Linked DNA regions of Arabidopsis thaliana. The protein of the gene in region 2 interacts with the protein of the main gene of each other region in a pairwise test. Each region holds a gene or a part of one and is shown on either strand. Other genes may lie near its edges.

Region 1 (4,393 bases), on a different chromosome or scaffold from region 2:
GCAACACAAATATATTCTAAACAAATTGATTGTAGTCTAATGATTAAGTTAGAATGATATCAAGAAAAAGAAAAAAGTTAGAATAATAGAGATTTTGTCATATAGATATCACAGTTAGAATAAAAATCCCATCAAATACAAATCTACACTCTTACTTTTATTTTTGATAGAAAAATTCTATGTATTTTACAAATTTCGGAGAATTTGCTCGTATTAAAGAAAATAATGCTATGTGTTTAATTCATATCTTATAACTAAAACATAATTTAAAACTTACTGTATTAATTAAGAGAAAATAAAATCTGACTTATTTAATGGAAAGAAGAAGAAACAAACTATAGCATCACAATAAATAAATAAATAAAGGAGTTAGAATTGAGCATTGAGGGATAGATGGTGGTTGCAATTTTTTTCTTTAAGTTAAAAAGCTATCCGGCCAAAAGCAAAGCAAGTGGGTCCCATCCGGCGTATCTGTCCAAAAGTCTCACTATCACGAGATCAGTGACGCTCTGATCAACCTCAGCCCTAACTTCTTCTTCTTTCTTTCTTTTTTTCGATTATTATTTCCCCATTTAATGAAAACGAAACGTTATTTATTTTAATCATTCACGATTTAATAACGACTGCTAGTACACATCTGCCTCTACTCTATACCGGTAACTGTGCGATAATCCCCCAAATTGAATGATAAATCCAACTTCAGATTCTCTTTATTTTCATTTCTCCATTGACTCTAATATTGAACTCAACTATTGAAATTTTCATTTAGCAACAAAATTTGCCAAGTACGTATGGCCAAAAATATACTCTAGTATTAGAAATTGTTATTTTAATCGTCAAGAAAGTGGTCTTTTATTAAGGCATTATTTATTAGTTTTAGGGATATGTCGCTTTCCATTAATGTATGTGTCCCCTTCTCTTACACGTTCACATAAAGGTTTTATTGCTTTGCCATTTTCCTTATTCTTCCTTTTCTCTGTTTTTTCTTCTTTTTCTTTTTCTGGTTCAAATTCTTCTTCGTTTTCTCATATCCCGGTCATATGGCAATATATCGATACTAGGTGTTTGACTCAGTTGGTGATGAAAATATACATATAACAGACTTAACAGTATAACACGAACACACGTTATAAAAGGCGTATTTTATGGTCAAACAATGTATATAGAATCTTCATATTCATTTCCTTCAAATTCTGGTTAAAAAAGAAGAAGAATAAATATAAGTGTTTCTCGCAATTTTACCGAATATATGATCAGCAACTCATGCACCATACACTCTCCAAGAAAAGAAAAACAAATCGATTTTTGGTGAAGTTCTGATCTTGCAAATCTTTTTGTACAAAACTTAGTGTAATAACTATTATATTTGATGTTAATTATGTAAATTACTACTATTCAAACATATACAAATCTTTATTAGATTGGATATTTTATACATTTCAGTCAAATTAAACGCATATATAATTTATTAAGTGTAACAACAACATACTACGGAACCAAGACAAAGGCCTGTTGTAAACTTCATTCTTGAACAAAACGCAATGCAGCCTTTTTCCCCTCCGACTTCAGGCAAACACGGACTTGTTTTGAAGCATACATGTTCATCCTCTTTTATTCCAGAACCTATATTTTATTTAATATTAGTTCATTCATAAAAATGATAAAATTACGTTCATAGTAAAAATAACAGAATAATCAGCCGGTACCAGAAACGATATCAGATGTTGAACGACAATGAACATAAGATATAACAAAGAGAATGGTGAAAACAAATGCTATCAAATTCTTTTTGGTGATAGCCATTTTATGATATTTTCTGTTTACGATTTTTCTCTATACTCATGCCCATCACACATCTATATATACAACAGACATGTAAATAGGTATCTTTTCACACACACACAAAAAAAGTATCTTTTATGGTCAAAGATGAAAAAAAAAACATAATCTTTCAAGAATTTATTTCCATAAGTCAAAAGAAAAATAAAGAAAAGTAATTTCTCATTTAAGTAGGTTTTGAACATTAGTACTAAATAGCTTTTATTCTTTTTACACACAGTTGGGGGAAAATTTACTTTTTCCTGACTATAAATCTAAGAAAATTAATTGGAAGATTTTCTCCAGTTTCATCTCTGACCAATGTGCATACTGCATAGTGTTGTTACTAATAAGGGAGGAAATAGTTGGCCTATACCCTATTATTAATTGTGATATATTTTCCAATTTTTTTTTTTTTCCTATTATTGAGTATATGATATATTTTGTATCAGTTTTATGTAAATGACATGATCAGGAATCCCTTAAATTTCCAGTTTTTAATAGTAAAAAGTGTATTCTAATATTTACCCTCACTTAATTGTCTTATTTTCGAAGCGATGTTTAGTTTTTTAGTAAAACCAAAGCAAAGTAGATTCCAAAACACTGGTGTATTAGTACATAATAATACTACGTGTTAACTTTTTAGTTATAAAATACAAGAGTGACCCATACACAAAAAAAGTAAGATCCCACTGGGTTTTGCTCCTTTCCCACACACCGTGATTGATGGTCACTCTCCATTCTCCACACTCTCACACAATTTCTCGATATTCTCTACATATTACATACCCACCACTCCACTCCCATCTTTTCTTTTATTACTCACACAAGCATGGGTTTACTTTATCTGTAATATTACACAAATGTAATCCCCATTTCCTCGAATAAAATTTGAAAAAATGAATAACCCACTGATATTAAATCAATATTTTGTTCTGTGTGTTTTTCACTTTTGACCCTCTTATATTTTCACTTTAATCAGATATAGTCCCTCTTTACGTCTCAACTACCTTAACGACGAAGCCCGCTACTTGCACAAAAGTCAAAAAAGCCCCCCACTCACTTTTCCTCTATATATACATCATCTCCCACACAAACACAAACAAACATAAACCTTCTTCAATGGAAGATTGGTGGTTTTCATGGCTCTCTAGAACAAACCTTGAACCTTCTCTCATCCACGAATACGGCCTCTCCTTCTCTCAGAACGAGCTCGAACACGAAGACATTTCTTACTTCGACCACGAATTTCTCCAGAGCATGGGAATCTCTATCGCCAAACACCGTCTCGAGATTCTCAAACTCGCTCGTCGAGATCGCAAGAACTCTCCTCCTCTCACCTCTCGTTCCATCTCCAGAGTCGTGACTGCGATTAAGAAAACCAGGAAATGTTTATCCGATCACGTACGCGCCTGGATCCGCCGTGAAGAAGAGTCGGCGTCGTCTCGAGCTCTGGTGTTGGTGCCGAAGAAGACTAGCAACGGGATTGGGAAGTGGAGAGGTGGATTCCTGAAGAGGAACAAGAGATCTGTGATGCCGAGCAATGGAAATGGTGGATTGGAGAAGCAAGAGAGGTTGTTGTTGACCAATGGGACTCCTTGTAGAATCGATAGCTTCTCAAGTCCCATGGTTTTCGATTACAGTTTCAAGGATGAGAAACTTTACGCTCAAGATACTTATTTTGAAGATATCAAATGGGATTCAATGTTTCAGAATCTCAAACCTACTTAGAAAAATCTCTAAGTTCTGTTTTATGTTTTCTCTTTCAGCTTCTTCTTCGTTCTTTATATCAGAATTGATGGTGAGAGATGAGGTTTTAGGGTTCTTCCACCATGTTTTCTTGATTTTGTCTTTGTATGTGATTAGGCTAGTTAATTTTTGTTAGTTAACAATTGGAAAATAGAGTTGAGTGGTGGTGTCAGGTGTGTATGTGAGTGTGTGGGGTCATTGTAATGAGTCTGTCTCTCCAGTCTTTGCTTTTGGCCTAAGTCTCTGTTCCAGTCAAAACTTCTTTACAGCTTTTATCACTTTTTACTCTTTTCTCAAAAAATGCTCTGTTTACACACATAACCATGACGCTAAGCCTGCCGGAGTGATCTTACTCTTGAGGTAATCGGAAAGATCTTGAGCTCAGGACACTACACAGTCTACACTAGAGCACACAAAACATTGTGCTTCCAAATTTTATCTGTTGTGTGTGTGTCAATTTTCAGATATACCTAAGGGAAGTGTAACTGAAAACCATACCTCAGTTCTTGGCTTCTTGCCACCACAAGTCACAGTAGATTCCATATCTGATGTTACCAAACCAGCAAAATGCTTGTAGCTATTACCAACGCTTTCCTCCCAATGAAGCAACACTTGATGGCATTGGGGTTGTCTGACGCTTCCTTTTCATGGTCGCCATCTTGCGTCATGAAGTTTCTTTCTTGGAGATGGCACTTAGTCATTGCAACCAAGTCCACACCAAATGAAGCTCTTGAACCTTTGCCTGGTACTGAACCAGCAATCCTATCAACCATGCTTACAACAGATCTAATATCACATACTGCAGACGAAAGCGCTTGTGGTGAGA
Region 2 (11,504 bases):
AAGAGCCATTTTGCATGTATTCATAGACAAGAATCCGTTGATCACCGTCTGCGCAATATCCGACCAAATTGACAAGGTTTTGATGATGTAAGAGACTCAACATCATGACTTCCACAAGAAACTCTCTGTTCCCTTGGTAACCATTCCTGTCTAGCTGCTTAACCGCAACAACCTAAACACGCAAGAATCAGAATCAAACCACTGAGCAGAATATGATGGATCGATGTTGTATGAGAGAGAATGTTATAAGTACTTGTTCCGGGGTTTCTATCTGCCCTTTGTAAACCCTTCCAAACCCGCCTTCACCGAGCTGATTATCGGGGTTGAAGTTCTTGGTAGCGACGCAAAGCTCTCTGAATGTAAAAATATGAGCACTGATGTTCCCTTTACCGAGTTTTGCTATCTCCTCGGATATGTATCTTCGCCTACTGCTATCTGCAGGTATGTGCAAATACGCCTCGCTTCTTTTAGAAAGAAAAGCTTTTAAGGGATTTGAGAATGCATATAATGAAAAAGGTTAGAAAATGGGACCTGTTTTAAAAGAGATGTTGTCAAATGTAGTTATATTGTTCTTTGCATCAATGCAGTCTTTGATGCTTTGTCTCGATGATGATCGTCTGTTAAATCGTCTGTGGGACATACAACAGAACAAGCAATTGATTTTCATTCTGTTTTATGTGTGTTGATAATGTATCTTCCTGGATTATTACTACAAGAAGATGATTGATTTACTCGAAGTTCATGAATGTTCTTGAACCTCGAATCCAAAAGGGATCAAGATAATTCTCAGACGAATAAATTTTATTTTGTAATATGGCAAAAGGGTTTGTCTGAGAAAATAAGAAAATAAGGTTTGGCCTTTGAAGAAACCAAAAATGAATCTGGTCTCTTTTGGCCTCAAAAGAAAGAAGGAACAAACAAAAATGAGTTTGCCACTTAGAATCTTTCCCTTATGTTTGATTGTTTATTTTATGTTTCCTTTTTTCCTGATAAATGGATGGTTAAATTTGGGTGAAGAATCCATTGGAAGAGAGTTAAAAGATCAAATAAGCTAATTTTGGTTTTGTTGGATTTAAAGTTAAGTTTATCCATTTCCATATTCCTATTAATATCTCTTCTAAATTTGTAATTCTAGATATCTTATTGAAACCTTAAAAAGAAGAATGATATAGTACTAGACATTGTTATTCATAAGGTTCACTTGCAGATACTGCAGTCGAAGTCGGTTACAAACACTTATCACTAAACTGAAATGAAGAAGCACACAAGAATAGCCATGGCTATAAATGCAAAGGGAACTTCTATTGCTTTTTCCTCTGCCTTTGATGGAGAAGAAGCAGGAGGCTGACTTCTTGCTTCAGGCAATGGTGGTTCCGTCACATCTGAGTCAAGTAGTGCTGGATATGGAGCTTCAGCTGGTGGAAGAAGCATTGGATTCGCGAAAGTTATGAGCTCACCGGTTGTAGTCAGACCAAATTCGCCGTAACACTTGTTCTCTGCAATCAAACATAATCTCAGATTGGCTCAAGGAAAGTTAAAGAAGATATAAAGAGAAGATGAGACTACTTTCTTACTTCTGTATCTTGCAGTGGTTGCTGGGAAGTCAGTGATGATGCCATCAATTTGGACATCGCGGACAAAAGAGTCTATCTCTAACGTTGGATCATCGTAAAAGTCAAATGCATGAGTTACACACTCGTTGCTAAATCTTTCAACGTAAACACGAAGCCCGTTTGATTTTAGCTTTGAAGCAATATTTGTCTCCTTTTCAAGGATGATAAACCCTTTGTAGGGAAAGACTGATTTCTTACTGATGACAATCGAGCCTGCGAAATTCTTGATGTCTTTGATCGCCGAATCTGCTACATCACGGATGTTGTCGTCGACTCTATAGACCAGCTCGTCATGATTCATTTTGTTCTTCTCCTTGAACTTCATCAAGACAGACTTATCAGTAGACTGGATCAGTATTGTTCTTGCACTTGTCTTGTTTTGTTGAGTAGTAGCTCTCTTCAATTCATCTAGTACCGCATCGACCACGCTAATTCCTTGATGTTCCACTAAATAAGCTGCATTCTAAGAAACGAAAAAATGCTATATCAAGAAAAGAGTCATGTGTTGTACTTATTTACACACAAGATTTGCAGATAGAACTCCCACCTCCACTTCTATCAAGAGGCCTAAGAGAGAGCTGTAACGGTTTGGAAGAAACAAGAACTCGGATAATGTAAGAAACTTCCCAGCCTTGTTGTTTCTTGGGTTTCTGAATAAACCAGAGTCCTTTTCAAGATTCGAAATAGTGGCTGCAATAAAGAGGGAAACAAAGCCAATTCATTAAAAGTCTTTATATTGAATCTTGATTTTGCTTTGTAGTTTTGGCTCTTACGCTTCAAGGTTTGTATCTGAGACATGGTCAGGCTAAAAGTGTAGATACCACTTCTCCGTGGGTTAATCTCTGAAACTACTGATGACAGATTTCTGAAGCTTGTTTCGATGACATTAGTGCTGTTTATAAGATCAAAGGAGCTCATACAAAAGGGAATCTTGTCTTTAGACATCTGGACATTGCAATCAAGAATATCAGCCCCGTCGCTTGCAGCTCTCTGATACGCCAAGTCAGTACAGCCCGGGAAATCTCCACTCGCTCCATTCTTCGAGATAATAGTTATCTTAGCTGCAAGACATAACTGTTAAAATGCAACTAAACGATTTAGTGATCATATGTTTATGGTTTTCTCTTGTGCATTACCTTGCTCCTTAGCTCTTTTAGGGTCCACATGAGAGAAGCAATCTTGGAAAGAAAACAAGAATCATAAATGTAGCTATATGCAATGCAAAACTAGATGAAGAAACAGAAAAACAGTGTGTTTTTTACTTACTGATGGCTCGATATGGAGTCACCGGGAAGTCTGATAGGAAACCATCAACGGAGAAGTTTCCGTTGTCAATGAAAGATAGATACTCAGCCGTTGGATCATAGCTGTAGTTATAAGCAATTACAAAATCATTGGCAAACTCCGAGGCGAAAACTTGTAAGCCTTCTTTATGAGCATCTGTTACAAGCGACGTGTGGGGTTGTAGGTAAAGAGCTGAATCTACGGGCCATATGTAAGATTTTGGAACAAGAATTCCAGAAGAAAACGTTCTTATATAACTTAGATTCTTGGCAAGAGAGCCGTAAGATTGGTTGGTGAAGGGTTCTATGTGTTCTTGTTTCAGAAACCTAAAGATGAGTTTTGTCACAGTCGGCTTGACACTGTTTTTCATGCTCTTCAGGAAACTGATCCCTGGAGAAGATATGAAGTTAACTTTCAGGCGTCTTGATAGAGAGACAACAGAGTTTCTCATACTCAAATTGTGTTTTGCGTAGAAAGCACTGTCCTATAAGTGTAGAGACGGATAAGTAGAGGAAGAAGATTACTTAATTATGATTCTTATAGAAAAGACTCTGAGCGTTAAAAGAGTATCTACATTATACCTGAATGTTCAACCAGAGGCCTGAAGCTGTCAACTTTGCTACTTCTTCAATAGCCAATATCGAGGATACATCATCGAATATATATGGTCTTGAGACAACACCCTGTGCCACTGTTGAGGGGAAAAAACATTTGCAGAGTTGATATACCACAAGATTGAACATTTTGATTTAAGAAGTTTCACTTACAAGAAGAGGGTTTAAAGAAACGAGATATAGTTAAAAGGACTTACATTTCACATCAGAGAGTTCCTTCCATGTGAAATCAACAGAAAACCTTTCTTTGTAATGTGGGTCAATTCTTATGACGTTAGAACCATTGTCAAGCTTCAGATTTGGAAAGCAGATTCCAACACCATCCTTTGTTAGTTGAAGATCACACCAGAGCATTACGTCTGGTGAAGTTGTTATATTCACCAACTGATATGCTTGAATACTGGAATCTGGAAACATACCAGAGAATCCGCCTCGAGCAATCACAGCCGGAGGTTTCCCTAAAGAAAACACATCAAGAAACTGTAAGGAACATTTATGAAAAATTCACGTACATAAAAAGTGAGAGAACTCTGTCTCTAACCACTCAATGTTTGCCAAGAACTTGAGAAAGCAGTCTGTAAAATGAAGAACGTGATCAGAATCAGAAAAATCACTCTAGGACACGCCATGGTAGTGGAGAGCTTTCAGTGTTTCTTCTTACTTTTTTTTTTTTTGCTGAAGATGGAGTGAAGAATAAGTGAATTATTGAACTCATGAGCTGTTTAGCAATAATCTACACAATCTACCACGTCCTAAAAATGGAAAAATTAGCTTAAAACGTAATCAGACTCTGCAGTAGCATTAATTGTAGTTTTTCTATATTTGTGAGAAGAATGTCACTATTCTGAAAATGGAATAAAAAGAACTTATTTTAGCTGTCACCTCGTTAAGTAGAGCCTAGCTACTAGCATGAGAATTTTTTCCGAAAAGCATTTTTGGGTCTCCATAACATTTCTAGCATGAGAAAAGCACATTTTCTAAAACTATGTGTCACCTCCATTGATGGACCTTTTAGCTTAAGTTTCCCTTTACATCAGAGCACAAATCCAACTTCTCCAAAAGAATCACCATCGCACAGCTTGAGTCTGGTTTCTATACTCTTGCAAAAGAGTTTTGCCTTTGTTACTGCATGAATCAAGATATACTTTAAGGAGAGAACAAACACATTGAAGATTTTTTGTTGTGATGACACAAGGTTACAAAGAAGTTTTGAGGATCAACTTCTATTTTGTTTTACGATGTGCTCATCCCCAGATCCCAAGTGTGTATCGAAACGGCAGATATATCTCAATATATATAGTAGTATAGCTCAAAACAGTTTGTGGTTACAAAAACACGATGACAAGAAAACACAAGACCATATGCAGTTCTTTGACTAATACAAGCTATTAAGGCGTTATGACAACCGCATTGTGTACACCAAAAAGAATTCTAATCGACAAATTCAACAACGGATAGTATCATCTGCATGTAGCAGAACCATCATTCAGCTTTTGCTGGAAATTTATTGCCACCAGTAGCGATCTTGTATACGTAAAAACAGGTCATGAGAGCACTGCAATACAGATATGGTTCTAGAGTTAAGTCAATGGTGTAAAAACTTAAAAATACCAAATCTTGATGCAAACAAAGATACTAGCCAGCCAGTGTTGAAGGATTTTTACCTGATCCCAGCAACCAAACCAGCCGGCATAATCTTTCCAGTCAGCAAGTAACGCTGTCCCATGACTAGTGTGAGAGCAGCTGCGATGACTGTATCGAAAAAAAAAGAAACATTCAGATGAGTTTCAGTCACCATAGATAATGAAAATCGATTTTGCAAGCTTGTTATATCTTTGAGGTTGGTTCTATTGTCAATCAATGGCAAGAACACTAATTAAAAACAGCTACTCAACTACAACATCTAACAACTCAAATTGAATGTTCATCTGCAGTAAAACAGCATCTTGTCCAAGAGAGACACTATTACATTAGTGGAAAAAATTAGCAAACCAATTCAAATACTGCTGCAATTGAAGATCCAAACACAACCAAAATATTAATTTTTTTTTATCTTTGAATAGCAAGTTTAGCATCATCACACAAATCACTTATTCAGATCCAGATCGTTAGTGGTCCAATAAGATCCTTAACCTTATAACATAACCTATCATCAACTCTCAAGCTAAGTTCATGATCCAACACATTGAACCATAACAAATTGAAAACAAAATGAAACAATTCCTTGGCTCAAGTGATAAGTCACTAAAAGCTATTCACATCTTGTAATTGAAAGTCTTCCCTATGGACATCTAACGGAATCATACGAATAAATCTTCCTAAACATAAATATCTGTTAAAGACATATAAACCCAGATCGCTAAAAAGGAAAGAAATTTGCAAGAAAAAAACCTGTCTGAAGAACCATAGCAATAGTGGAATTCTTCTTCTTCTCAAAAGCTTTGAGACTGATATAACCAGCGAGAATGAGTAATAATCCAGTGCCTGCACCTCCGGCGAAAGATGTTATACTTCCTTTCTTCATGTACCCGATAAATCCTCCGCCGATGAGAAGCATCCCGTACGGGATAGTGAAGCAAAAATCATGCATTTTTCTCGTGCTGGGTTTCGATTATTTTCACCGGTGATGAAGAAAATTGAAAGAGCGATCGCAATCGATGAATTGATCTGATAGAGACGATGGATCGATGAATTGATTTTATGAAAGTGTTGTGTGGTGAGCGCGTGGAAAAGGTCCGCCTTTTTTCGTCAACGGTCTTCAGACAACTAATCCTCCACTTACGGTCCATCATTTTTGTGGCCTAATTGTAATTAATTTGTAATTTTATATGTATCTCAACTTTATATTAATGTGATGAAGAATGTTTTTTAGTATTGCATTTTAAGATAGTGACAGTTGTTGTACCTAATGTGAGTAATGTTCAAAAGGAAATAGTTTTCAACATTGTTTTGTATGTCACATTCGTTGAACCATCTACATTGACAAAATCTAACGTATGTCACTTTAGCTTCTAGATTTTTTTTTTTAAGATTATAAATAGTGGGAAAAACAACACAAAGCAAAGTGCAAGTTTACAAAATTTTAAAGTTGGAACTATGATTTCTATAGAGTTGGTGAAAATCTTCTTCAATGGTGTGATTAAGAGTCCCATTGCTAACAACATTACAAGCTTGTAGATTTCTATATTTAATGGACTATTTTACTGAAATTCTCACTTTATGGATATAATTAAGGTTCCAAGAGCATTTTCCTGAGTTCTTGAGGCCTTTTCTTCAAGCATCCGGAGTTCACAAGAGAGTTTAACCAAACTTCATCAGACCTTGTTGGTTCGTCATCATCGTTCCTATGCCAGGTCCATAGCGCATGTGTTGAATTCACCATCTGAAGCTCCCCATGTCCAAAGCTTGCTTCCCTGAAGACTGACCACTCTGGTGACGGATCTTTGTACCTGAAAGTGAAAAAAACACGATCCCTTCATGATAAGTATCAACTACTTTCATCATATAACAACTGCACCGTAAGTGTGATTAGTTTCATGTAGATAATATGTTGAATTAGCTCAAGAATCTCAGACACTAAGATGCAGAGGTTTGGCATGGACACATCAGAGAATTCTTGTTCATAGTTTACTTATAACACAGAAAGAATGAAGATTTGATAAAGCTAGAAGTAATCAGTTTGAGGAAATTACTTGCGAGCCAATCCTTCTCTGTTTCCTCCATCACCTATGGTAATGTGTACGGGACCACATGGATCTGATTTACCATTGTTGACACGTTTCTGTCGAACAGCACAATAAACCAGTTTAATATCATAGGGAAACAAGAAGAAAAGCTGAGATATATTTCTATTGAGATTCAACACAGCTCTGAGCATACCGTGCGTTCATAAGCATGGACATGACCAGTAAATACAATATCAACACCGCTCGCATAAAGCAAAGGCTCCATTTCAGCCATCATTTCATCACCTTCATGTTGATGGGCATTGTTACTGTTATACCATGGTACATGGAAGAGGACTATTAGCCACGGAGTTCTTTCTCGGTCCACCTTCGAGAGATCAGCCTACACATATCATAGATAACACCAAAATTAAATCCAATAAGTGTAACAGAATCTGCTGATCTTAAAAGATTATCTCACGGAAAAAGATTAATTCAACCAAGCACTATTTTACTAACTACTTAGACCTATTGTGGCAATAAAGGGGAGATACACATAACAGATGGATGTCAAGCAATAATCCTTACCTTTAACCAGCTGTATTGATCTGAGTACCGATCATAATCTGTGTATGAGCCAAGCATGATCGCATGGACACCAGCAACCTCAAAGGAATAATAAAGATTTGAATTTGACCCACTTTCCTCATACGGCATCTTCCACCTCGAGTTGAAAGACACAAATTCATCAACTATAAAAGGAATACTCTCTTTCTCATGGTTTCCCTGTGTCACCATCCACGGCCTTACACTTGCCAGAGGCTGAACTAGTTCCCCAAACGTGTCCCACTTATGCTGCATATAGTCCGCATACGATAGATCCCCTGGAAGTAGATGCACAGCATATTTGCATTGATCAATATGATCTAGAGTCGACTTAGTCCAACCGGTTTGTCCAAGATCCCCCGCCACTGCAAAAGTAATCGGGAACTGAGCTGGTGGTGTTTTCAAATGGAACTCAGGTCCTTCTCCACCACAACGGTAATAATAAACAGTATCCGCTTCCAATGGCCCAATGACGGTATGATGTATCTTCCCTGATCTATACATTATATAGCTGTAGGAGGTGCTTTCTCCTTGACCAAGATAAGAGTATTTCCCTGGCGATGTTCCATATTCAACAAATGAAGGAGACGATTTGTCATTCGTAACCCAAGTAACTCGCATATGTTTATCTCCAGCCAATGAGATATGCACCTGCAGGTAAGAATCTCAGTATAAGAAACAGGACCAAATGAATCTAAAAACAGAACCTTTGATGTTCATTATCAAGTATCAACTGTATCATGCACTCCATAGCTACAATTTCACTCAAGCATCAATGTTTTCTTCAGAATGAAACAACACAATTCATCTCCATTGTTATAAATAATCATTTAGGAAAAGGCCATTTTTACCCAAAGTAGTGATTAGTGAAGATTACTAATGGCGTTGATCAAAACTACACAGTCATTAGATTTATCCATTAGAAAACTAGTGTTGAGAAGACTTCGGGACACTAGCAAATGGGATTCTCTGGAGTAAGCATAAACCCAAAAATCGGATCTTTCGGAGAAAACAAACAGAGACCCACATGCAGTTACAAGAATAGAAAGATTTCAGACAATTAAAAACATGATTTTTTCGGAACAAGAATCATCAAAACAGAGGAGAGCTTAAGGAATTCTAATTTATACCTGCTCGGGTACAGAAGAGGACTTTTGTTTCCATGGAAACTGCAAGGTTTCACGAGGTTTTGGTCGGACGTAATCATCTGCGGCCGCAGAAGTAAAGATTATTGACACTGATAATGTTACGAGTAGCAAAATCCCCCATTTTTCCATCTCTGCGAGCTTTTTCTTTCAGATTCAGTGAGAAAAGGTAAATGGATTCTTTATAGGCTTTTGCGACGCGGGCACGACACGTGTCTAAATGACTAAATTGTCCTTACCATATCTCGTATGAATGTGTTGATTTTCATTTTAAAAGGATAAAACGATAATTCAGTCTGTTGTCTTGTCCAATGATTTTTGTTTTTTCTTATAATTGATTTCTTATGATACCTTATGAATTTTGGTTTATTTATTTTTGTTTTTTTGCAATGTATGAAGTATTATCTGAATATTAGTATGGTCCAAGAATGAAAGAAAACACTAATCCAAGAATGACTAACAAAAAAATGAAAAAATAAAGTTGAAGAAGTAAAATGATATAAATAAAAATAGAAAGTTAGAGAAAAAGTAAAAACGGTGAATCGAGATGCTGTCACGAGAGCAAATGACAAAAAATGGAGGACAAGCCTTAACTTATAAGCAATGAATGAAGATAAAACAAAAATAAATGACAAAGTCGACCAACAAAAACAAGATACAAAAATAAAAGATGACATTGGATTCGTAATTAAAACATCTTTATTTTACACTTTTTAAGGCCAATGATGTCTTTGGTAATTCGAGTTCGAGCACTCGTTAAGTGTGAACAATTATGATAAAATGTGTTCATATGTCAAATTAGTAATACCGTGATCGTGTCACCAATCAAATTTATTTTCGGTGTAATGAATAACTCGTGAATTAAGAACTTCCATATGTCCAATTTTTGTCTTAAAACATATTATTGCAATAGATATAGAAATAAACAATAATAAAAAAATTGTAATCGATATGTATAATGTATTTATACATTACAAAATATTTAACATGATTTTGAAATTTTGTAAATAATTAATTGAAATTAGTATTTGTAATCGAATAATAAAAGTGTTGTCAATATGTCATCATCATCAGAATTTATAAATCCGAATAAAAAAAAAAGATTAGTTGATTATACAATTAAGAACAACATTAGAGTAGATGGATGCATACATTTCGCATTAGAGGAAGATCAGAAATGGAGAAGGAAAATAGTGAATCTAATGATTCATTAGCGAATAAGGCTTCTCTAAGGAAAGCATCGTCAAATTCACTTCCCAATTGTGCATCTTTCTCACTACATGGCGCATATATCTGCTTATGTAATAATTTGTTTTCTAATGTTCTGTATACTGACTTTGTAATTTCAGTTTGATATCAATGAAATTATTTGCCGGGAAAAAAAAAAAAGAAGACCGTTCACCAAATTAAATTATGGGCTTTATCCAACTTTGAAATTTCACGGCCCATTCTGATTTTTTTTCTTTCCAAAATAATTATTTTCTGCGGCGGTAAATATCCCGACGAAAATTAATACATGAGAAATTGAGAATCACTTGAAATTTTTTTAAAATCATGGATTGTGCGCTAGGCGGGGAATTTTTACGAAATCTCAAGCTTCTTCGGCACACCAAGGCGCCAATTCCATGTCTTTGAAGTCTCTTCATCTCCTAGTCCAAACCCTAAATTCATTCTCATGGATTCGATTGAGCCACCATCGTTTTCGCTAGGGTTTGATCTTGATGCTGCATCGGATCTCCAATCGGAAATCCATCAAAACCCTAGCTCCACCGGCGACCAATTAATCGGGGACGGCGATAACGAGCCAGAGTTGGGACTTACTGTCTCAGATTCCGATCGGGAGCTTGAACCAGATTTTACAAGCCCGGTTCTCAAGCGGTTGCGACGAGGGATTAATCCCAACAAGTGTTCTGTGAAAGATGATAGAAGCGTAGCTGTAGAGGATCGGGATGATGACATTGAAGAGTTCTCTTCTCCTGAGGATTTTCCTACGGGTAATTACAATTTTGAGCTTCTGCTTCGTCTTTTCGAATATGGGTCTTACTTAAACTGCTGGAATAGGAATCGAGCATTGTTAGATCTCTTATTAAACGTCAATGAGCTGATTAGCCTATCTTTCATTCATTAGGCGTCTTGGATCGTGAACACATTGATAGAAAGACCATCCCTTAGTTTATCATAGAGAACTTAAAACTGATGGATTTAGGAAGCCTGATGCAAACCCTCTTCTATTTAGATATCAGGATCAGTTTGTTGTGGCTCAAAGATGAAAACTTGATTGCAGTTGTTGACACTAATAGGTAGACTAGAGTGGGTTTGGAGCCTTCAGGCTGAGAATTTGTTATTTATAAGGACATTGATTAAGCTTCATTCCACTCAAACTGGTTTCTTTTGGATTTCTTTAGTGTAATATTTTAAGTCATCCATATTGTGTTGGTTTCATCTTGGTATAAAACTTGTGTTGCTTCATGCAGACGCACCGGCCTCAACAAGAAGTCATTTTTCTAGTTGCAGCTCAAGGGTGCCACTTCATGGTTCTGGGGTTTTATCTAATCAACCTTCTATCTCTCGGGGAAA
Region 3 (11,504 bases), about 12 Mb from region 2:
TCTATTTTCTGAAAAAAAAATCTTTAGGTCATCATCAATGTCTGCCAATACTGTACTTGGAAGATTGAGTTTGACAGTGTGATGAACGCATCTTGCTCTTGATTAAATATATTTTACTTCCAAAAACGACACACAGTTTTCATCTCCTATGATAAGCCATGCCATGGTATGCGTCAATCGTCACTCTGCCCATTGTATACTAAATTTCTTTCTTTCCATGTTCTAAAGTTTTTTTTTTTTTTTTTGTCGTTCTTTCTTTCTTTCCATGTCCTAAAGTATTTTTTATTTTTTGGAATTACGAGAAAGAACCAAAAAAAACTTGGCTAATGCAAATCTTTGATGTGACCACGGTAGTTTCCATACCTTGCGACCGTATATCTGTATTTATCGCCACAATCGAGGATAAATATGAATATTTTACACATAACTCTAATAGATCTCCCAAATTGTATATAAAAAAAGAAAACTCCGATAGATCTAGTTTAGCTTAAAAAATTGATATGATTCTTTACACAAAACGGTAACAAAGAATTTAGACCTCCATATTTAATTTATATATGTATGCCCACATAAAGCAACATTGTTCTAAAACGCTGAAAGTGAAACATTTAAATATTCTTCCGAATAAATCGACGTGTACACGACATTGTCACCGTTGATCTATTATTGAAGCAATATTTAATTCCTCCGTAAAACATTATAACTCATCCGTAAAGACCGTGAAACATTATAACTTAGCGGTAATATGTAAATTTGTTGTGAAATAATAACATGAAAAGAAACCGAAAAGTTCCTCTTGATAACTTTTTTTTCTTTTTAATAATGTAGATTAATATAATTTTCGTTAATTATGTTTTAATGAAAAAGATTAATTAAACAAACTAATCAAATGTGTTAATTGTAATATACACAATGATACAAAAAATATGAAATAAGTTTTTAAAAATATGTGATATTCCAACAATATTCCAACTTTTCTATAACATCAGGTAAATATTTCTTCACCTTTTCATGTCAACATTTTACAAGAGAAGCATAAAACAAAACAAAAAATCCTCTCGGCAACCATATGCCTTTTAAACTAATGAGGATTTGTACTTTTTTTTTTTTTTTTTTTTTTGGGCACAAACTAATGAGGATTTGTACAAAAGCTAAATGAAAAGAGCTACAAAACTAAGCCCATAGACATATATCTCATGAAGCCACTCCAGATCACCTGATGCTACATCAAACTAAGAATGGTTTTAATTAATATATGGGCCTCAGCTGAGGAAACAAAAGCCCATTAATTTGCTTCAATATTGGTTTACCCGTTTATTCTACATGCCACGTGGAAGAATATGAGTGGTCACGATATTATAAAATGCGTCAAGGTAAACAACAAATAACAAACTCGTTTTCGAGCAAAAAAACTTTGAAGATTGATTTGAAGAAGAAAGCTCTCTCTCAGGTTCTTGTTCTCAACCAGACATTGATTTCTTCGATTTGCATATTTCCCTTCTTCGTCTTACGAATTTTACTTCCTTTAGCGATGGATTTGATACTACGTTGACTTTTATCTTCCTTTTGGAAATGGCAGCGTCGTCTTCTCTTCTTCTTCTTCTTCACTGTCCCACCTGCAATTTCTACTTTGACTCTTCCTCGTACCTTAAAAGATCGAGACTTTCGAGCTATAGTTCGATTATCTCTCGTGGGTCTCCTTTGTTTGTCTCTAGCTTTGGATCTATGACCGTTAAAAGATTCTCTAGCAGAGTCGGAAGCAGGAGCAATGACGGTAACGAACAATTTGGAGCGTTGGAGCAAGAATCTTTCATCAACAACTCATCGGAGATACGGAAAGACTTGGTCACCGGCGGTGGGATTGAAGCCATTGTTAATCGTCTGGTTAGTTAATGGAAATCTCATTCATGCACGCAATGTGTTCGATGAAATGTTTCTTCAGTATCAATGTGTGTTTCTTTCTGACCGGTTTTAATTAATGATGACAGAGCAAATGGGTTGTGTCTGTTCTATTTGGTTCAATCATTCTTTTGCGACATGATGGTGCAGCCTTGTGGGCAGTCATTGGATCGATTTCGAATTCTGCTCTCTCTGTAGTTCTTAAACGTATACTTAACCAAGAGAGGCCTACTACAACATTGCGATCTGATCCCGGGATGCCATCTTCTCATGCTCAATCCATTTCTTTCATATCTGTCTTTGCTGTTTTATCCGGTAAGCAGCTTAAGCTGTTCACTACTCATCGTTCGCTATCGTGGAACTGTTTACAACGGATTCACTCGAGTCGTGTTTTCTGCAGTTATGGAATGGCTTGGAACCAACGGTGTGTCTTTGTTTCTTAGCGGCTTAATCCTCGCATTGGGTTCATACTTTGTAAGTCTGTTATAACAAGTTTCACCTAATTGATTCAAGCTTTTCATTCATATATGAAATCATTTAGTTGCCATTGATCTCACACTCTCTGCACTATCACAGATACGGTTAAGGGTTTCTCAAAAACTGCACACAAGCAGTCAAGTGGTGGTGGGTGCCATTGTTGGTTCTCTTTTCTGCATCTTATGGTACACAATGTGGAATTCGCTTCTTCGTGAAGCCTTCGAGGCATCTCTATTAGTGCAAATATCTGTATTTCTGTTTGCAGCTACATTTGCGCTAGCTTTCGCAGCGTACGTTGTACTTAACTGGTTCAAAGACGAGAGATAAGCAATACCAAGCTTTACTTATAAAGCTTAAAATTGTTATCCCTCAAATTCTTTTCAAAATATCGAAATGAAGGATTCAGAGCCCGTTTGTTAAAATCAAGATTTTAAAAAATAAGGTTTCTTTAAGATGTAAGCAAGGCAAGCACCTTACACTAGAGCTAACATTGAATGTTAATAAGAACCAAACCGAACCAAATATTAGTGACTGTGGCTGCCACTCATCAGTATGCCACCGCAAGAAAAATGTGTTTGCAGCTACTCGGAGCTATACATCCTCTTGAGAACAGTTAAAACAATAACCAAATATGTATATATTTCTATTCACAAGGCGTACGCTAAACGTCCTGTATCTTTATTTCTCTTGCTTGCATCAAACCCACTACGTATACAAGAGACTTACTTAATCATTCATCCTTAAGAGATACTTCAGATGATGGTTTGGCTGCAGGAATGTAAGACCATGCCAATGCCGCGCTTCCTAGAGTAATGGTTGCTGCAATTGATCCCCAAATCCATCTCTGCCTCTTCTTTCTCTTCTGCCTCTCTCGTCGTGCCACCTCTGGTATCAACAGAGTTGTGAGATTAGATTTTTATTATACGATAGAAAATGACAATGGATAAATTTGGTGAATGAGAGTGATTTTCTACTACCTATGGCTTCTTGGTTTCGTTGAGACATCTCTCTGTTCACGGCCTCGTAGTAGTGTAGACGGTCAGACAACCGTGTGATTTCAAAGTTCTTAGTTTCGAGCATAGATTCCATCTCCATCTCTACCTCGGCCTTTGCCATACCTCTGCCTAAAGAGTCAGAGACAAACCTCGCAATCTCGAGTTGACAGCGTAGTTCTTCTGATAGATTCATGTTGTTGGTGGAGGCGGTAGGATCAATAGGAACGAACAGACCCACCTGAGCCATCTGCTCACGGAGTCTCTGCCAGTGAATTTGCATCTGCTCCAAAGCCTCCTCTGTCTGTTTTCTCTTCTCGATTTCCATTAGTAAACTCAGCCTTATCTCACTTAATTCAGATTCGATGTTATTAACTGAACTCTGCATTCCACTGTCGGTTGATAGTTCTGAAAAACCAAGAAATTAGATGGATTACAAAATACTAAATAGTTCCGAATCATAGAGTCGAGTTAAAGCTTAACTTTCAGGATACTTTGCAGATACTCATCAAGGGAAATGAATAATGCATTAATCATCATGATTTGGAAAGATAACTCATCACTTTCAAATTTCAATATATCCAGAAGAAAACAAAATTCCAAAGCATGACAAGGCGCTACTACTGCATATTAAAGAAAGAATACCCTCAAATGCTCAAAGGTTAAAAAGAAGGGACTCTAAAATGTGACTAATCATATTATCCTGGGAACGTTAAGATCATAAGCATTGACAGCCATCTCATAAGGAAATGATTAGTAAGAGAATAAGATTTAGATAAGTACCATCCCAAGCATCATAAAACTCTCCCACAGGTGTGGCAAGTCTTTGTGAACTTTCGTCCCCAGCATCACCCTCTACGTCTGTGTTACTTGTGAAGCTTGCTGATTCACCTGGGTCATAGAAATCTTCTGACTCACTCTCCTTGTCTGTTTTAATAGGGACTGGCTCAGACAGACCATTTACCCGTTCTAAACCATTAGCAGCGTTATCCAACTCTGACTTCCCATTCCCACTTTTCCCATCAAGCGGACTCCAATTTCCAACAGGACCATCAACAATACCATCAAAATTATAGTTTCCAACCGTACGAGCATGAACTCCATTGGAATAATCATCTTCAGTAACCTCAGTGATAGGAAACGAGAAGGAAGTGGACCTCCTCCGAGGGGAAACCTTTACATCTGTTTCAGCAGTAATAGTTTCCTCTTCCAGCGTCTTCTGGTGGGAAGAAGACACAACATTAGCCTCAGAAGAGCTTTTAAGAAGACGTGGAGGTCCACGTGATTTGTGGTTGATGATATAAGGCGACGGTGGGAAAGACGATGGCGAATTAGGAAGCGGAATCGCATCAGGTGTGGCGTAGAGAGCAGGTGACATCAGAGGACGAGTAACTGTCCTCTCATTAGGTAATTTACCTTTACCTTTCTCCAGTTTTGATATCGGTGGCTTTGAATAAAACAAATTAGTTGTGCTTGGAACACTCTCGACAGACGTGGAAGCCCCTGGCTCTAGCATTCTATCCAAAGCAATAGCAGAAAAAGTAGGCATGGCTCTGCAATCATTCAAGTATCAAATTAGTAATAAAAAAAAACCGAAACCACAAAGAGCGTTTCTTCATTTCAATCGAATCAGAAATCAACCAACAATGGTCATTCGCATAAGTGAGAATTAGCTATTGGGAAGGTACAAAGCAAACACCGCGTGCTCAAACCACAATCATCGGTATACCTAAACAAAACTTGATTCAATTCTCGCACGAAAAAAAGAAGCTAGCAAAATCAAATCACAAATCTGATAATCTAGAAGCTAACAATAGGTCAAGCCGATGAAAATGAATCGAATCTCTCGAGATTCAGACCTACCATAACGAAAATTTCCAGAAATTTCACCGAAACAACAAACAGAGAAAGGTGAAAACATCAAATCCGGAGGCGTAAGAGAAGGATTTACCTCGAGCGCGAAGGAGATCTCCACGGAAGAAAGCTGAGGAAGATTCAACGGTGAGAGATCGAGGTTATACGGAAGTAAGACGACGGCGGAGAAGATAAGAAGAAGCGTGATACGACATCGTTAAGAGGAGAGGAGGGAAGAAGAAGAAGAAGAAGAAGAAGAAGAAGAAAACCTCTTCTCCAAGGCTTTTTTTATCTCTTCTCAGCTTTGTATCTCCGCAAATATTTGAAACGCTCTGTTTTTTTTTTTTCTTCTTCTTTGCTTCTTCCTCTATTCTTGGCGACCCATTTTCTGATTTTCTTCGTTTTATTTTTATTTTTTTAAAACGTGTCTTTGGGAGACATTTGGAAAGACGGATATAACCTTTGACGGTAAGAGTTACAGCAAAGGACGGCGCTATACAATGAAGGGGTACTTTGTGTAAATAAATCGACGGTAGGGTTTCGTGAAGTGGTCGAAACGACGTCGTCCAAGGGATCTTGTTTAAGTGGGGTCACATCTCGAATATTCAGAAACGTCACTAAAACGGTGACGTGGCCTAAAAAGCAAATTAACCCATGGCCCAATTTTTGTCTGTTCACGAATCTGTAAAGCCCATTTTGAAAACGATTTTAAAAGTCTTTTTTTATTTTCTTGTCTTCGTCAAATCTGGGATTTTGATAATATTTTTAGAGCCAGGTTTTTCTTAAACGTGTTACGTGACCCATGTGAACACGCTTTTAATAAAGAGCGAGTATTCAAACTTGGTTAACAATATAGTTTTAAAAAAAAACTGGTCTTCACAAGAAATATGAGACTATGATCATATCTATTTTTTTCTCCTTAATATAATAATATTTTATTCGTAACTTTATTTTTTGATGAAAAGGGAAAATCAAATATGCATCTGTTACTGGAAATTTTGAATTTTTCTTCACTTTATTTTGAATTTGTTCTCACTTGATTTTGAATTCTTAAAATAAAAGCTAAGGTGGGAAATGAAGAATATAGAACATGATTCAAAGATATCAGCTCTGGGACCGCTTCTATATTAGCAACTACTACGAATTGATTCAGTTCATATAACATATCCTTTTAAATAAGAAAACCAAAATCAACTTTTTGATCATATATTAAAGTCAAGACCCTTGAACTTATCTTATTCTTCACGGAATCTCCATGAGAGTGTACAAAACACTCATCAATTCGTGCAAAAATGACTAATACATTGTTTGATGCATCTTTTCGAATCGAATCAAGGATTGTTTGGCTTTCTCATAGATTATATATTTGGAAAAAAAAGACGATATACAAATCTTTTATTCATTTTCCTTGACGAATCTATCTGTAATGAATCACTGGTGCGTTAGAACTCGGATCCCACACACCTCCTTCTCTCACATACTCCATATACCTAGCAAACTCTGGTTTCGCCGTTGCTAAACTCTTCTTCTTCGCCGTATTCTTCTTCTTTCTTTGAAAATGAACGTCAAAGAAACTAAACAAAGGATGAACAGAACCACCGGTTGGTTTCGCTGTCGGTGTCTTCTTCACTTCTTGAACCGGGTTTCTTGAATGACCATAAACACTAGCCGGAACGCTAGAGACCCTCTTCAGTCTCGCTTCTTCATCGCCGAGCTTTTCGTAGCCACCATGGATTTTCCTTGTGCTCATGGCTCTAAACATGGTGTGATGTGGTGTGGAAAAAAAGTGGAGTTCCTTTGTTTGTGTTTTAGGTGAGTTCTTGAAACTTTCTTCGTGATGGTGTTGATTTAAGTAGTAGGACAAGTTTGCTTTGTGATATGAAAAGGAAAATAGTAGATCTGTTTGACTTTTATTTTAATTATTGTTGTGTGTATGAGATCTCCAACTAACTAAATTAAATTTTTGTATATGTAATTAATAAAGCATGTGTTAGTGTTACACCCACATGATGTATACATCTTCTTGTTCGTCCCTATTAAATCGCCGGTCAAATGTGTGTTTATGCTGACTATTACGTCTACATCTTTTAGACAAATCAAATGGACAATGGCTTTAGAGTTTAGACTAATCTTCTTTGTCTGATCCATATCTAACAATATATTAATCATGGAAAAATCTAAATTTGGGGTAAAAGTAAGCAGAATAGATCTATTCTAGAATGCTAAATCTGCTCCTTACGATGGTTTAACATCAGACTGTTATCATGCATGTACATGATTATGAATCAGATTTTTCAAACAAAATCAACTTTCTATTCAGACAGAAAAAAAAAAGTATGAATCAGAATTTTAAAACAGCCATTTGAAGGATAAAAAACGCTAGAAGGAGGGGTCGAACCTCCGACCTTGTGGTTAACAGCCACACGCTCTAACCAACTGAGCTATTCCAGCTAATTGTACTAACCATACTTGTGCATTAAATTATTAATTACACACGTTTTTCCCTCTTTATTTGAAGGTCCAATTTTATCACTTTGTTCAACCACAAATTAAGTAAAAGAAAAAAATAATCCCAGATACAATATAAAACAATCAAAACATACAAGATTCCACAGATTTATACTCAAGATTTTGAATAATTTGAAGGGCAAAAATTATATATAAAAGCAAAACAGGATTGTAAAAATTTATTTCACTTTTATCAGATCATCAAACTATTCACTAATGTTACTATTGTTTCTCTTCATTGCTTGCTTGTTATTATGCATCCAAACCTTAAAAACTTGTCTCCTCAGATTCACCATCCTACAAAACTTATCAATCTCTTCTTCATCTTTCTTCTGCATCCTCCACCCTAATCTCTCTGCAAATTCCTTCATCTTCTCCTTTTGTTCTTCATTGATCTTTGTCCTCACTCTCTTCTTCTTCCTCATCATCATCATCATCAAACTTTTCCCATCAACGTTTTGGTTACGATGACTCAGAATCTTCTTCATATCCTCGCTTGAAGATGAAGTCCTCCGTCCAATCTCACCCGTTGGATGCATTACACGTGGCTTGTACGAGCTGTTACTGCTGTAAAACGCCGGAGTTATCATCAGCTGATGATCTTGTTTACTGTTCCTGTGTCCGTACACTTCTTTCCGGTGGAAGCTCCGGTGACAGTTACAGGCGGCGCATTTTAAAGCACCGAGTGTACCTTCTTCTCCGCCGGCCATGAACTCGCAGCATCCGTCCACCACGTGTCCTCCGGTTGAGGCCGCGTGGTTCTTCTGACATTCCCGGTACTTAGCTCCTTGGTCGACACGTGTCTTTGGTTTTTGGTTTTCTTTCTTGATCGGGAATAAAGCCATGGATGGATCTGATTCGGGTTTGGCTTCTGGTTCCGGATCCGTATGTGGCTTTACTTCTGTTGAGATCATTGTTGTGGTTGTAATTGCATTGCATTTTCCTCCAAGCTCCATTGTGAATCTGACCCAAAACAACAAAACTTTGTTAAATATTAATACTTATAAATCATTCAATAATGCATGCAAAAATCTCTCCTTTAATAATTAATAGACGACTTTTGGACTCACCTTAGGGATTATAGAGATGCTGCTTATTGTTAGAGGGGAGGAGTAGTGGAAGATGAGATTGATATTGATGATGAAGAAGAAGGAGAAATAGAAATTAAGGATGATGATGACGTATGTGTGTTTGTTTCCTATCACCCATCAAGTTTTATTTCACATGAGAATCCAACAAAAATATTGATTTTAAAAACACAAACCTACTAGAGAGAGAGAGTGTGTGTGTATGTGTGGTGGTGCCTCTTAATTTCGAGACATTGTCATATGTTTGTTATCTTTCACCACCTGCACCTTTGGTCCATCTCCCATTATTGCATTTATCTCTCTTTCTCTCTATTTTCTTTTATGATGATTATTGATGGTGTTACTAATTAATGTATGTCTGCAAAAAAACCTAGCTTAGTCAAACTATTACCTACTAAGTACAGACTTGAGGAGTGGAGAGAGAGAGATAAATGAGAGGAAAGTTATGGGATTATTTTAAATTAGTTAAATGGGTTAGTTTTCAAAACTTTTTTCTAATGTAAGTTAAAATTATGTCTTATGTATTGTTAGTTATAAATTTTTAGGACTATGATTTTAAGTTCTAACATATCATAAAATAGATTAAAACTTCGAACAACAATGTTTGTCAATCCTTTATGCTGTCATAATAATAGTAGGAGTATCTTTATTTATCGATCTCCACAAATTCTTTGATCAGATTTATTGTGATAATCAATGAGAAAATAATACTCTTACTATCATTATGAGAGGTATTTATGGTTTGCATGGAGTTAGAAGTTAACTACTATAGCTTCAATTTCCCATACAAATGGAATTAGGGTTTCTAATAGAGTTGTTTAATGAAATAAGCTTTAACAATCAGAGTTTAATGATAGTCTTGAAAGAGAAGACATGATAAATTATTTTTCTGGTGGGGAGGGTTGAAGAATTAAAAGTGTGAAAGAATGAAAAGCTGGTCCACATAAGCACAACAAAACCTGCACTTTTATTTATCTCCACATGCCTCATGTCTCATTTTTCAGATTCTTTGTTTCCCACAGCTGTGTAGCACTTTTATGATCATCTTCATTTCTTACCAAATATTGAAATCAATCAACGGGAATAGATTAGCCATATACTAAACTTTTATTAAGAGGTTTGAATGTTACGCGTGACATCTTAGACTTTTAAATTCGTCTCTCTGAATAAGAGTAATTTCTTCCTATAACTATTTTAAGTTAAAAGAAAGCAAGGGTTGATTTCACATCTGTCTTGGCAAAATCAGATCCAAGCTATCTACCACTTGATCAATTGGGCCGGATGAGACATTGGGCCAAGCCCAGTACAAGACAGAAACAAAAGACTTGGTAAATAAGCCATGCTTCTCAATATCCAAGTCAAATGAAACCCCATACATGATACATGTTTACAACAGTCACAGAAATATAATCCGTGGAATACAGTTAAAATACAAGAAGGATTTTTCTTACGTGCTCCATAATTTACAGACACAAAATAACTCAGATTACCAGCAAGTGAAACTTGGAAAGGAAGTGATGGGCATGGAAAAGCTTCTTCGTCACAGGATCATATTAACTGCCCGATTACTGAAATGATTGATTGCAACAAATCACACTTCAACGATAACTACCAGATATAGAAGCTTCAGTGATAAAGTATCGTCATGTTACTTACTAGGATTGATACTATTGCTAGATAAACAAGATACATCAAGAAAAGATAAATACTTTATGATTCTTGTTTTAAGATTTGGGAGATTTCTACTTCTAGAAAGCATTCCAAACAAAAACCAATCCAGAGAACTTAATGTCAAACAAATGTTATACTCCTATCCTTTCTAATCATGTAACTGTTCAAATTTCCAAGTCAAGCATGAAATATTCTATAAAGAATCAAGTTTGTCTATGTAACATAACAATTCTAGTTACTATCAACCTAAAAAGAGAGGTATTGTTAAACTATTACCAGGCAGGTGCTATTTGGTCTTACGAGACTCGATTAGTCTCCACATGTACCATGAACCAACAGACCTATAAGGACGCCATTTCTCACAAAGCTGCTCCATTTGCAATGGACCTGGAAGATTTTTCAAACCATAAAGATCTTTCACACCTTTCCTCACACCAAGATCTCCCACAGGCAACACATCAGGTCTATGCAACGAGAAGATCATAAACATATGAACAGTCCACACTCCAATTCCTTTAACCAAAGTTAACCTATCAATCAACTCTTCATCACTCATTTTCAGAATCAATTCATCAGAAAGCACACCGTTGTTGTATTTATCAGCTAGATCGTGGAGGTAACTAGCTTTTCTCCCGGAGACACCGATCTTACGAAGATCAACGGCGGAGAGTGAGATCACAGATTCAGGAACAACACCTGCTTCTCCACCGTTGAATAGAGAGATGAATCGATCGTAGATACATTTCGCTGCTTTCGTCGCGAGTTGTTGGTATAGGATTGATCTCGCTAAGGAGAGAAACGGAGTATTACTTGAGTCGAACAGTGGAGGATCGTTGTGCGTTGTGATTAATGCTCCGAGAAGTTCATCGGAGCTTTGTAAGTGACGTAGAGCGATATCAACAGTCGATTTTGTTGATAGAGGAGGAGACGCGGTGATAATGATCCTCGGCGACGGATCTGACGAAACTTTCCTGATTTTACGAGGACGAAATCTGATTCTAGAAGATGAACCAGA

What was found.
Region 1: the proteins of AT3G20510 (region 2) and AT1G15760 interact in a two-hybrid assay, tested with the Arabidopsis thaliana proteins (one large-scale study listed by BioGRID).
Region 3: the proteins of AT3G20510 (region 2) and AT3G50910 interact in a two-hybrid assay, tested with the Arabidopsis thaliana proteins (one large-scale study listed by BioGRID).

Annotation. Positions count from the first base shown.
Region 1 is NC_003070.9:5,422,774-5,427,166, forward strand, and holds AT1G15760 (Sterile alpha motif (SAM) domain-containing protein), read left to right. Parts: upstream 1-2,842; 5' UTR 2,843-2,940; coding exon 2,941-3,549; 3' UTR 3,550-3,893; downstream 3,894-4,393. Other genes in the region: AT1G15757 (Molecular chaperone Hsp40/DnaJ family protein), read right to left, coding at 1,469-1,623, 1,707-1,803; AT1G15770 (mediator of RNA polymerase II transcription subunit), read right to left, coding at 4,119-4,393.
Region 2 is NC_003074.8:7,155,481-7,166,984, reverse strand, and holds AT3G20510 (Transmembrane proteins 14C), read right to left. Parts: upstream 6,309-11,504; 5' UTR 6,102-6,308; coding exon 5,903-6,101; intron 5,264-5,902; coding exon 5,176-5,263; intron 5,067-5,175; coding exon 4,994-5,066; 3' UTR 4,590-4,993; downstream 1-4,589. Other genes in the region: AT3G20530 (Protein kinase superfamily protein), read right to left, coding at 1-172, 254-435, 532-667; SVL3 (SHV3-like 3), read right to left, coding at 1,243-1,496, 1,575-2,076, 2,161-2,303, 2,387-2,674, 2,750-2,791, 2,880-3,381, 3,479-3,588, 3,709-3,969 and 1 more; PAP18 (purple acid phosphatase 18), read right to left, coding at 6,741-6,960, 7,204-7,292, 7,391-7,579, 7,765-8,433, 8,913-9,059; AT3G20490 (Rho GTPase-activating protein), read left to right, coding at 10,603-10,921, 11,402-11,504. UniProt on the Arabidopsis thaliana protein: May be involved in free fatty acids export.
Region 3 is NC_003074.8:18,913,602-18,925,105, reverse strand, and holds AT3G50910 (netrin receptor DCC), read right to left. Parts: upstream 5,780-11,504; 5' UTR 5,320-5,779; intron 4,922-5,319; 5' UTR 4,918-4,921; coding exon 4,152-4,917; intron 3,777-4,151; coding exon 3,354-3,776; intron 3,262-3,353; coding exon 3,107-3,261; 3' UTR 2,805-3,106; downstream 1-2,804. Other genes in the region: LPPepsilon1 (Phosphatidic acid phosphatase (PAP2) family protein), read left to right, coding at 1,573-1,884, 1,989-2,214, 2,300-2,373, 2,476-2,703; AT3G50900 (uncharacterized protein), read right to left, coding at 6,640-6,984; HB28 (homeobox protein 28), read right to left, coding at 7,937-8,686; AT3G50880 (DNA glycosylase superfamily protein), read right to left, coding at 10,776-11,504.